Linked DNA regions of Saccharomyces cerevisiae S288C. Each later gene encodes a partner of the first gene's protein in a complex. Each region holds a gene or a part of one and is shown in the gene's direction. Other genes may lie near its edges.

Region 1 (2,887 bases):
TTCCTTTAGCTTTTGCAGAAAAGACCTTTTCATCCCTCTTTGATTGTGACCATACGACAGTGGCATCCCTCAAAGCGGACAGATCAGCATTGGCTATATATTGTTGGCCCAATTCATTCAGTTTCTTGACCAACTCCAGCCATCTATCCAGAATCTCTTCATTATTCGTGTTGTCTATGCTTCCCAATGATTTCAGTAGTATTCTATATGATATAATAGTTCTTGGAATATGGTACAAAGTATAGTTTTTATCGATAAAATCGATTATGCTGCGTTCGTGCCAGATAGATGCTCTAGTTAACATAACGTTAAAAAATGGTTCATCAATTTTTTTGACCCCACTGTAAAACGTTATGATTTCTTGAAGCTTACGGAAACCATTGATATTGTCATTAATATAGTTTTCGAAGAATATTGTGAAAAAAGTGTTGTTTAGTGAGGACAAAATTCCAGGATTAACAGTGTTACCATAAAATTTTACAGCCTTTTCCCATATTCTATAAACATGATCAAAATCGTTCTGTGCTTTCCATATATTCTGCAAAAAAGAGTTCACTGTAGAGACTTGTAAAATAATCTTGTATGGCATTTCATCGTTGATAATTTTGTCAAAGAAACTTTCTGCCAACGTTAAATTCTTGGAATCACCAATGAAGCTTAAGTGCGTTTCAATTAAATAACCGTAATTCCTCACTTCAGCCTTTTCACATAATTGGCCGAAGAGGGATAATGCCTTTTCGTAGTCTTCCGCCTTGATGAAGACTTTTATCAGTCCGCTGTAAAGATTGGGATGGATAAATTCTTTGGATTGAATAATTTGGTTATATAGCTCGTTAGGCTCAGTCAGAGAACGCGTTTTTGCATAAAGTAATGGCAGCATAAAACCAACCACTTTTGGTTCTTGGAATGCCTGTGAAGTAGTCTCGTCGGACAAATTCTTTGACGCTTCCCAAATTCGAATACAGTCATCGTCAAATGACAGCTCTTTAAATGAAGTCAATAGATGAGTAGCTCCATATCCGCTGACAGACACCTTGCCTATCAAAATGTCATCAGATATATCCTTTAATGAATTACATAGAAAGTTCATCATTTCCTTGTGAAAAGATTGCGAATCGTAGTCTGGCTTTCTACTTAATTTTACCAATTGGTCTCTCGTCGACCTCAGACCGTTATGCAGCAGATGAATCAAACGTGACACCCGGTACGCATTGAAATCAGGCGATTCTCTCAAAGAATAGTATAACTCCATTGCTCTGCCCATGGAGTCCCAAAACATGGCGAATGATGGATTTTTATTCAATTGGTTGTTTCCTATTCTTTTGTATGTATTTTGCAAAGGCGTGGTAGAGTACTTTAAAGCAGATGATACACACTCATCAAACGAAAGAAGCTCGTGGCGCCATGGAGAAGCTGGATCCACATTAAACACATTCTGTTCTGTTTTGCGCTGTTCTCGCCCATTCTTCTTGTCCAAAACGCCCTTAGGTACATTTTTATGAAATATCGGACTGGAGTGGTAAGTACGGTCGCTAAGAACTACGTTGGCAAGCTTACCTCTCAGCATTGCTATCGAACCGGAGTTAACAACGTTGCTTACGCTTATTTCCATAGTTTTTAACGATCTCACCGCATTTCTTCTAAGCATCATTGTCCCTTTTGCAGTATATGGACTCTCCGAATAGTGTAAGAAAATGACACTGAAACCTCACCTTCTTTTACTTATTGCTTAGACCCTCATTACAATGCCATACTGAATACATTTTTTCGAATCTTGTTCAGTCAGGAACCTCAACCATATATCATTACACACGAGTAGTAACAAAAGCATTTTGAAGTAAGATTTGAAACAAAATAATACTCAGAGTAGATCGACGTATAAGAGTTCCTTCCCCAGCGTATTCCGCCACCACCCATCGCACATACATAGAATAACAATGTCAGCCACCAGAGCCAATAAAGATATTTTCACACTATTCGACAAGAAGGGTCAAGGCGCCATTGCCAAGGATTCCTTGGGAGATTACCTGAGGGCAATTGGCTACAACCCCACCAACCAGCTCGTACAGGACATCATAAACGCGGATTCGAGCTTGAGAGACGCCTCTAGCTTGACGCTGGACCAGATTACAGGCCTAATTGAAGTCAACGAAAAGGAATTGGATGCAACTACCAAGGCAAAGACAGAAGACTTCGTCAAGGCATTCCAGGTCTTCGACAAGGAAAGTACAGGCAAGGTATCCGTTGGTGACTTAAGGTACATGCTAACTGGCTTGGGTGAAAAGTTAACCGACGCTGAAGTAGACGAGCTGTTGAAGGGTGTTGAAGTGGACAGCAACGGAGAAATTGACTACAAGAAGTTCATCGAAGATGTTTTGAGACAATGAGAGTGCGGAACTGCAAATTTAGACATTTATTACTATATAACAGAGTCCTATCGACATAAAAACGAAAAAAGCGCCATTATGCAATGAAAACTTGCCAGCGGTTTTTCATTTTTCATACTGGTAATTCAGAGAGCCAAGTCTTTCTTTATAATGCATAGCAATAAATAGTCATATATATATATATATATATATATATATGTACATATATATGAACATATATATGAACAAATAAATGATAATGGTATGTGATAGTCATTATTAACGATTAAGCGTTTTTCTTCAGTTTCTGAGGGATTCTAACCGCTTGGCGATTTTGCAAGAGATAAGAAAATTTTTCAGTCATATGGATAACCTAACACAGCGTGCGACGTATTTTACTTCAGGGCCCAATTGAATAAGAAAGTATAATATAGAGTTTCAAGAGTCAATGTCCGATCTCGTTACCAAGTTCGAATCGCTTATTATTTCAAAGTATCCAGTTTCTTTCACTAAAGAACAAT
Region 2 (7,116 bases), on another chromosome or scaffold:
GAGCCATTATTATTGTTCACCTTCAGTACACTCTTGAACCTAGTGGAAGAATCCGCTGACTTCTGCCTATTCAGTAAATACTTAAATCCCAAGGTATCGGTGCCAGGTGCAGTGGAAGAGCCTGATGAATTCCTTGGTTTCCTCTGGTTAGTCAAATATCCTAAAGAGGGATATACACCGTTTAAACTTCTTCTATCCACATCTTCTGAATCTGATGAGGTGGATGACGTGGACGAAAAGGCTGATGACGACAAAAATGCTGGTACATTAGAACGGGAATACAGAAATGACGAAGAATCGTTGACAGCAGAACCGTCCAAATCATGATAAAACAAAGATGTGCTGGGGGAGGAGTTTACGGAAATTTGTGATTGAGAATGCATATTCCCTAATTTAATGCCGCCAGCGGTGGATGAGGGCTCAAACACTACCGACTCCCTCAACGTATCAAATGGGTCTGAATTTCCCAAAGAAGGCTGTAAAAATTGGTTAACCAATCGTTTCCTCTCATAATCAAAAGAACCAGCGGATGATCTACGTTGCGAAGAGGAGGAACCCTGTATTTGATTGAAAGCTAGCCCAGTATGACAGCTTTGGAAAACGGACATCGAACCACGACGTCCTTTACTAAGGCAAGACAATCTGGCCCTATTAGAGTTGAAGTCGGTTTTCGGCGACACTCTGAATGGATCATCCAAACTGGATGCCCCACTATATGATCTACTGTGTCGACCTACTCTGTTATCGATGTCATCTTCAAACAAAAAATCGCTAAACTTCCCGGTTTTGGTCGATCCCAGGACAGGTAAGCTAGTCATTTCCAATGAACGTTGTCGTACCCCATGTGCCCTATTCTTTGTCACATATAAATGTCTCCTATCATGCAGCGCAGGCTGTTCCTCCTTTTCTTTCTCCCTTTCCTTTTGTAACAACGATCCCAAGTTTACTTCAGTGCTTGGTCTTGGGACCACCGGATTATCATTCACTGCTATGACAGGTAATCTAGAAGATGATTTCGAAAAGTGTGCAACATTTGTTTTAGCTTGTAGAGGTTCCGGCTGCGGCTGCGGCTGTAGACCGGATTCTTTTATCTTCACTGCGTCGCCACTGGAAGCCCTTCTTCCCTTACAAAAGCCTCTTGGGAATGAAGGAGGTAACAGGGTACAGTTCCTCGATCCGGGATTCTCCATCCGGTCAATTAGCAAGTTCATTTTCACTTAATGTATCAACTATAACTTAAACCAAAAAAAAAAAAAAATTTAGATATGGGAAGGTCTTTTCCTCCACAAATAGGGTGAACTATCCGACCCAGATCAATAAATAAATAGGCTCGAAGACGCCTCAGAACTCCGGTCACTGGTTTGTCTTGTTGATATACGATGTGCCAAGCGCCGTTTCTCGATGCTTATCTGGTTTAGTTTACGCTGTTAAAACCAAAACCCCAACAGATTTTCGACCCTAACGTATGTAGGGCTAAAATAGATATTGAGTAGGTTACAATTAATTATTGGCAATTGCACCTAGTGACACATTTACGAAAACGTAGGGCAAAAACTATTACCCGACCCAGGGCTATTTTGTGATTTTTTCCTTTTTTTTGTTTATGATCGCGCTTCTCGAAAAGCCAAATATCAGAAATCCCAAACACGCCTTCATTTGATACGATTCGTAGCCTGCGTTTCAGAGATCTATCAACTTTGCAAGGCCAATCAGAGAACAAAAAAGTCTCGCAAAGTCATTTCACTTTTCTCGCTTGAAATTATTCGTTCGATTTCTGGCTGCTTGCTTGTTTTTTGTTTTCTAAGGTACTATTCGACACCATTCCATTGGACAGCGATACTTATACCATTGTACATATAGGACATAAAAACAGCAGATATTACAGCGTATAATGTCTTTTGAAGTGGGTACACGATGCTGGTATCCCCATAAAGAATTGGGCTGGATTGGGGCGGAAGTAATCAAAAATGAGTTCAACGACGGCAAGTACCACCTGGAGTTACAATTGGAAGACGATGAAATCGTGTCCGTGGACACAAAAGACTTGAATAACGATAAGGACCAATCTCTACCGCTTCTTAGAAACCCTCCCATTTTGGAAGCAACGGAAGATTTGACCTCTTTATCTTACTTGAATGAGCCAGCTGTTTTACATGCCATCAAACAGCGCTATTCTCAATTGAATATCTACACATACTCGGGTATTGTTCTGATTGCTACAAACCCTTTTGATCGTGTCGACCAGCTTTATACACAAGACATGATCCAAGCATATGCGGGAAAGCGCAGAGGTGAACTGGAACCTCACTTGTTTGCCATTGCCGAAGAAGCGTATAGGTTGATGAAAAATGACAAACAAAATCAAACCATTGTGGTAAGTGGTGAATCTGGTGCTGGAAAAACGGTTTCTGCCAAGTATATTATGCGTTATTTTGCTTCTGTAGAAGAGGAAAATTCCGCTACTGTACAACATCAAGTGGAAATGTCGGAAACAGAACAAAAGATTCTAGCTACAAACCCTATCATGGAAGCATTTGGTAATGCTAAGACTACCAGAAATGACAATTCTTCCAGATTTGGTAAGTATCTAGAAATTTTATTCGATAAGGACACATCTATTATTGGAGCAAGGATCCGCACATACTTGTTGGAACGGTCCAGATTAGTTTACCAGCCGCCAATTGAGAGAAACTACCACATATTTTATCAATTAATGGCTGGATTACCAGCTCAAACCAAGGAGGAATTGCATCTTACCGATGCCTCAGATTACTTCTACATGAACCAAGGCGGTGACACCAAGATCAACGGTATTGATGATGCCAAAGAATACAAAATTACAGTAGATGCATTGACATTAGTCGGAATCACCAAGGAAACTCAACACCAAATATTTAAGATCTTGGCCGCACTTCTGCATATCGGTAACATAGAAATTAAAAAAACTAGAAATGATGCATCACTATCAGCTGATGAGCCAAACCTGAAACTGGCGTGCGAATTGCTGGGAATTGATGCCTACAACTTTGCCAAATGGGTCACCAAAAAGCAGATCATTACAAGGTCAGAGAAAATTGTTTCGAATCTAAATTATAGTCAAGCTCTGGTTGCCAAAGATTCCGTGGCTAAGTTTATTTATTCCGCCCTTTTCGATTGGCTTGTGGAAAATATCAACACCGTGTTATGCAACCCGGCTGTGAACGACCAAATTAGCTCATTTATTGGTGTTCTGGATATTTATGGGTTTGAACATTTTGAAAAAAATTCATTTGAACAATTTTGTATTAACTATGCCAACGAAAAACTACAACAAGAGTTCAACCAACATGTTTTCAAATTAGAGCAAGAAGAATACGTTAAAGAAGAAATTGAATGGTCTTTTATAGAGTTTAATGATAATCAACCTTGTATTGATCTGATTGAAAACAAGTTGGGTATTTTATCACTGCTTGACGAAGAAAGTAGGTTACCTGCTGGTTCCGACGAATCTTGGACCCAAAAACTTTATCAAACTTTGGATAAATCTCCTACGAACAAAGTATTTTCTAAACCAAGATTCGGGCAAACTAAATTTATCGTGAGCCATTATGCTCTAGATGTCGCTTATGATGTGGAAGGATTTATTGAAAAAAATAGAGACACCGTATCTGACGGACATTTGGAAGTGTTGAAGGCTTCTACCAACGAGACACTAATAAATATCTTAGAGGGATTAGAAAAAGCTGCCAAAAAACTGGAAGAAGCGAAAAAGCTTGAATTAGAGCAGGCTGGCAGTAAAAAGCCAGGTCCGATAAGAACGGTTAACAGGAAACCCACTTTAGGTTCCATGTTTAAGCAATCTTTGATTGAACTAATGAATACCATCAACTCAACTAATGTTCATTATATTCGTTGTATAAAGCCTAATGCAGATAAAGAAGCTTGGCAATTTGATAATTTGATGGTGTTGTCTCAACTCAGAGCCTGTGGTGTTTTGGAAACTATTAGAATATCTTGTGCTGGGTTTCCTTCTAGGTGGACTTTTGAAGAATTTGTATTAAGATATTACATCTTGATACCACATGAGCAGTGGGACCTAATCTTCAAAAAAAAGGAAACTACAGAAGAAGATATCATATCAGTGGTTAAAATGATCCTAGATGCTACTGTAAAGGACAAATCCAAGTACCAGATTGGTAATACAAAAATTTTCTTCAAAGCAGGTATGCTTGCATATCTGGAAAAACTTAGAAGCAATAAGATGCATAATTCAATTGTTATGATCCAGAAGAAAATTAGAGCTAAATATTACCGTAAGCAGTATTTGCAAATATCTCAGGCCATCAAGTATTTGCAGAACAACATCAAAGGTTTCATCATTCGTCAACGCGTTAATGATGAAATGAAAGTTAACTGTGCAACTTTATTACAGGCCGCTTACAGGGGTCATTCCATCCGTGCCAATGTGTTCAGCGTATTGAGAACAATTACAAATTTGCAAAAGAAAATTAGAAAGGAACTAAAACAAAGACAACTGAAACAAGAACATGAATATAATGCTGCGGTAACTATTCAAAGTAAAGTTAGGACCTTTGAGCCGAGATCGAGATTTTTACGCACTAAAAAAGACACTGTTGTTGTCCAATCTTTGATCAGAAGAAGAGCTGCTCAAAGGAAATTGAAACAATTGAAGGCAGACGCTAAATCAGTTAATCATCTGAAAGAAGTGAGCTATAAATTAGAGAATAAAGTGATTGAACTGACGCAGAATCTAGCATCCAAGGTCAAAGAAAATAAAGAAATGACAGAAAGAATTAAAGAACTACAGGTTCAAGTGGAAGAAAGTGCCAAGTTACAAGAGACATTAGAAAATATGAAAAAAGAGCACTTAATAGATATTGATAATCAGAAATCTAAGGATATGGAATTACAAAAAACTATTGAGAACAATTTGCAATCCACTGAACAAACTCTAAAGGACGCTCAATTAGAGTTGGAGGACATGGTTAAACAACATGATGAATTGAAAGAAGAATCTAAAAAGCAACTTGAAGAATTAGAGCAAACAAAGAAAACATTGGTTGAATACCAGACATTAAACGGAGACTTGCAAAACGAAGTTAAATCTTTAAAGGAAGAAATTGCTAGGTTACAAACTGCCATGTCGCTGGGCACCGTTACTACTAGTGTACTACCTCAAACACCATTAAAGGATGTAATGGGAGGCGGTGCTTCAAATTTCAACAATATGATGCTTGAGAATTCCGACTTATCTCCTAATGATTTGAATCTAAAGTCTAGATCTACTCCATCGTCCGGAAACAACCACATTGATTCATTGAGTGTCGATCGCGAAAATGGTGTCAATGCTACACAAATCAATGAAGAGTTATACAGGTTATTGGAGGACACTGAAATTTTGAATCAAGAAATCACGGAAGGCCTGTTAAAGGGATTCGAAGTACCGGATGCTGGTGTAGCTATTCAACTAAGTAAAAGAGACGTTGTTTATCCGGCTAGAATACTGATTATAGTTTTAAGTGAAATGTGGAGATTTGGGCTGACCAAGCAAAGTGAAAGCTTTCTTGCCCAAGTATTGACTACAATTCAAAAAGTTGTCACTCAATTGAAGGGTAACGATTTAATTCCAAGCGGTGTATTCTGGTTAGCAAACGTTAGAGAGTTATACTCATTTGTGGTGTTTGCTCTAAACTCTATTTTAACCGAAGAAACGTTCAAAAACGGCATGACCGATGAGGAGTATAAGGAGTATGTTTCATTGGTCACAGAACTAAAGGATGATTTCGAAGCTCTAAGTTATAATATATATAACATTTGGCTGAAGAAATTGCAGAAGCAATTGCAAAAAAAGGCCATCAATGCTGTGGTCATCTCCGAATCATTACCAGGTTTCAGCGCGGGAGAAACCAGCGGGTTTTTGAACAAAATTTTTGCTAACACTGAAGAATATACAATGGACGACATTTTGACCTTTTTCAACAGCATATACTGGTGCATGAAATCTTTTCATATTGAGAATGAAGTGTTCCATGCTGTAGTCACAACCTTATTGAATTATGTGGATGCAATTTGTTTTAACGAATTAATCATGAAACGTAATTTCTTGTCGTGGAAAAGGGGTCTTCAATTGAACTACAACGTTACTAGATTAGAGGAATGGTGCAAGACGCATGGCTTGACAGATGGTACTGAGTGCTTACAACATTTGATTCAGACCGCTAAGCTACTGCAAGTCCGTAAGTATACTATCGAAGACATTGATATCTTAAGAGGAATTTGTTATTCGCTAACACCTGCACAATTGCAAAAATTGATTTCACAATACCAGGTGGCAGACTATGAGTCTCCAATTCCACAGGAAATCTTAAGATACGTTGCTGATATAGTTAAGAAAGAAGCTGCGTTATCTTCATCAGGTAATGATTCTAAGGGTCACGAGCATAGCAGCAGTATATTTATCACTCCAGAAACAGGTCCATTTACTGACCCATTCAGTTTGATAAAGACAAGAAAATTTGACCAAGTAGAAGCCTATATACCAGCGTGGTTATCCTTGCCCTCAACTAAGAGAATAGTTGACCTTGTTGCCCAACAAGTCGTTCAAGACGGCCACTAAAACTGATGGCGCGAGAAACAAAATTGTACATGAATGCTAAAAAAAGAAATGACAAAAAAAGAGAAAAAAAAAAATGAAACTACATAGTTAATTAATAATAGAAGTATTTGTCAATAGTATGATAATGAAATCGATATTATGGAAGATATTAACCGCGCGCCGTATTAGTGTACACTATATTAAACTACATTTTGCTTCTTACTGAATTTATAAATTATGATTATATTATTATTACTATTATGACTACTGTATATATTTTTTAGAATTAGCATCGGGAACCGATGAGCGTTAGCTGAAATGGACGACGATAGGAACGATAATTACCACTAGTAAAATAATAACAACTAAGAATAAACACATTCTCATTTTTAGATCTTTCCACCACATTTGCTTTCTGACCCTGTTGGCGCCTCTCTTGAATCCTTGTGCGGAGATAGCCAAGTTATCAGCTTTGTCCTCAATGGATGTTAGCCTTTCACCACGTTCAGCAACCTTGTTGA

What was found.
Region 2: the proteins of MLC1 (region 1) and MYO2 are in contact, whole or in part, in a crystal structure (PDB 1N2D), measured with the Saccharomyces cerevisiae proteins. Residues at the interface, in NP_011409.1 of Saccharomyces cerevisiae: Leu13 (codon at 1,974), Phe14 (codon at 1,977), Lys16 (codon at 1,983), Asp29 (codon at 2,022), Arg32 (codon at 2,031), Ala33 (codon at 2,034), Gly35 (codon at 2,040), Tyr36 (codon at 2,043), Asn37 (codon at 2,046), Thr39 (codon at 2,052), Asn40 (codon at 2,055), Ala77 (codon at 2,166), Thr78 (codon at 2,169), Lys80 (codon at 2,175), Ala81 (codon at 2,178), Asp85 (codon at 2,190), Phe86 (codon at 2,193), Lys88 (codon at 2,199), Ala89 (codon at 2,202), Phe90 (codon at 2,205), Val92 (codon at 2,211), Met109 (codon at 2,262), Leu110 (codon at 2,265), Leu113 (codon at 2,274), Gly114 (codon at 2,277), Glu115 (codon at 2,280), Lys116 (codon at 2,283), Leu117 (codon at 2,286), Glu121 (codon at 2,298), Glu124 (codon at 2,307); in NP_014971.1 of Saccharomyces cerevisiae: Ile807 (codon at 4,310), Ala810 (codon at 4,319), Ile811 (codon at 4,322), Lys812 (codon at 4,325), Tyr813 (codon at 4,328), Leu814 (codon at 4,331), Gln815 (codon at 4,334), Asn816 (codon at 4,337), Asn817 (codon at 4,340), Ile818 (codon at 4,343), Lys819 (codon at 4,346), Gly820 (codon at 4,349), Phe821 (codon at 4,352), Ile822 (codon at 4,355), Ile823 (codon at 4,358), Arg824 (codon at 4,361), Gln825 (codon at 4,364), Arg826 (codon at 4,367), Val827 (codon at 4,370), Asp829 (codon at 4,376), Glu830 (codon at 4,379), Met831 (codon at 4,382), Asn834 (codon at 4,391).

What each region holds. Positions count from the first base shown.
Region 1 is NC_001139.9:304,623-307,509, forward strand, and holds MLC1 (Mlc1p), read left to right. Parts: upstream 1-1,937; coding exon 1,938-2,387; downstream 2,388-2,887. Other genes in the region: RMD9 (Rmd9p), read right to left, coding at 1-1,651; ARC1 (Arc1p), read left to right, coding at 2,815-2,887. UniProt on the Saccharomyces cerevisiae protein: Essential light chain for the class II conventional myosin MYO1. Also acts as light chain for the class V unconventional myosin MYO2 and for IQG1.
Region 2 is NC_001147.6:923,830-930,945, forward strand, and holds MYO2 (myosin 2), read left to right. Parts: upstream 1-1,891; coding exon 1,892-6,616; downstream 6,617-7,116. Other genes in the region: FRT1 (Frt1p), read right to left, coding at 1-1,211; SNAP receptor SNC2, read right to left, coding at 6,905-7,116. UniProt on the Saccharomyces cerevisiae protein: Myosin heavy chain that is required for the cell cycle-regulated transport of various organelles and proteins for their segregation.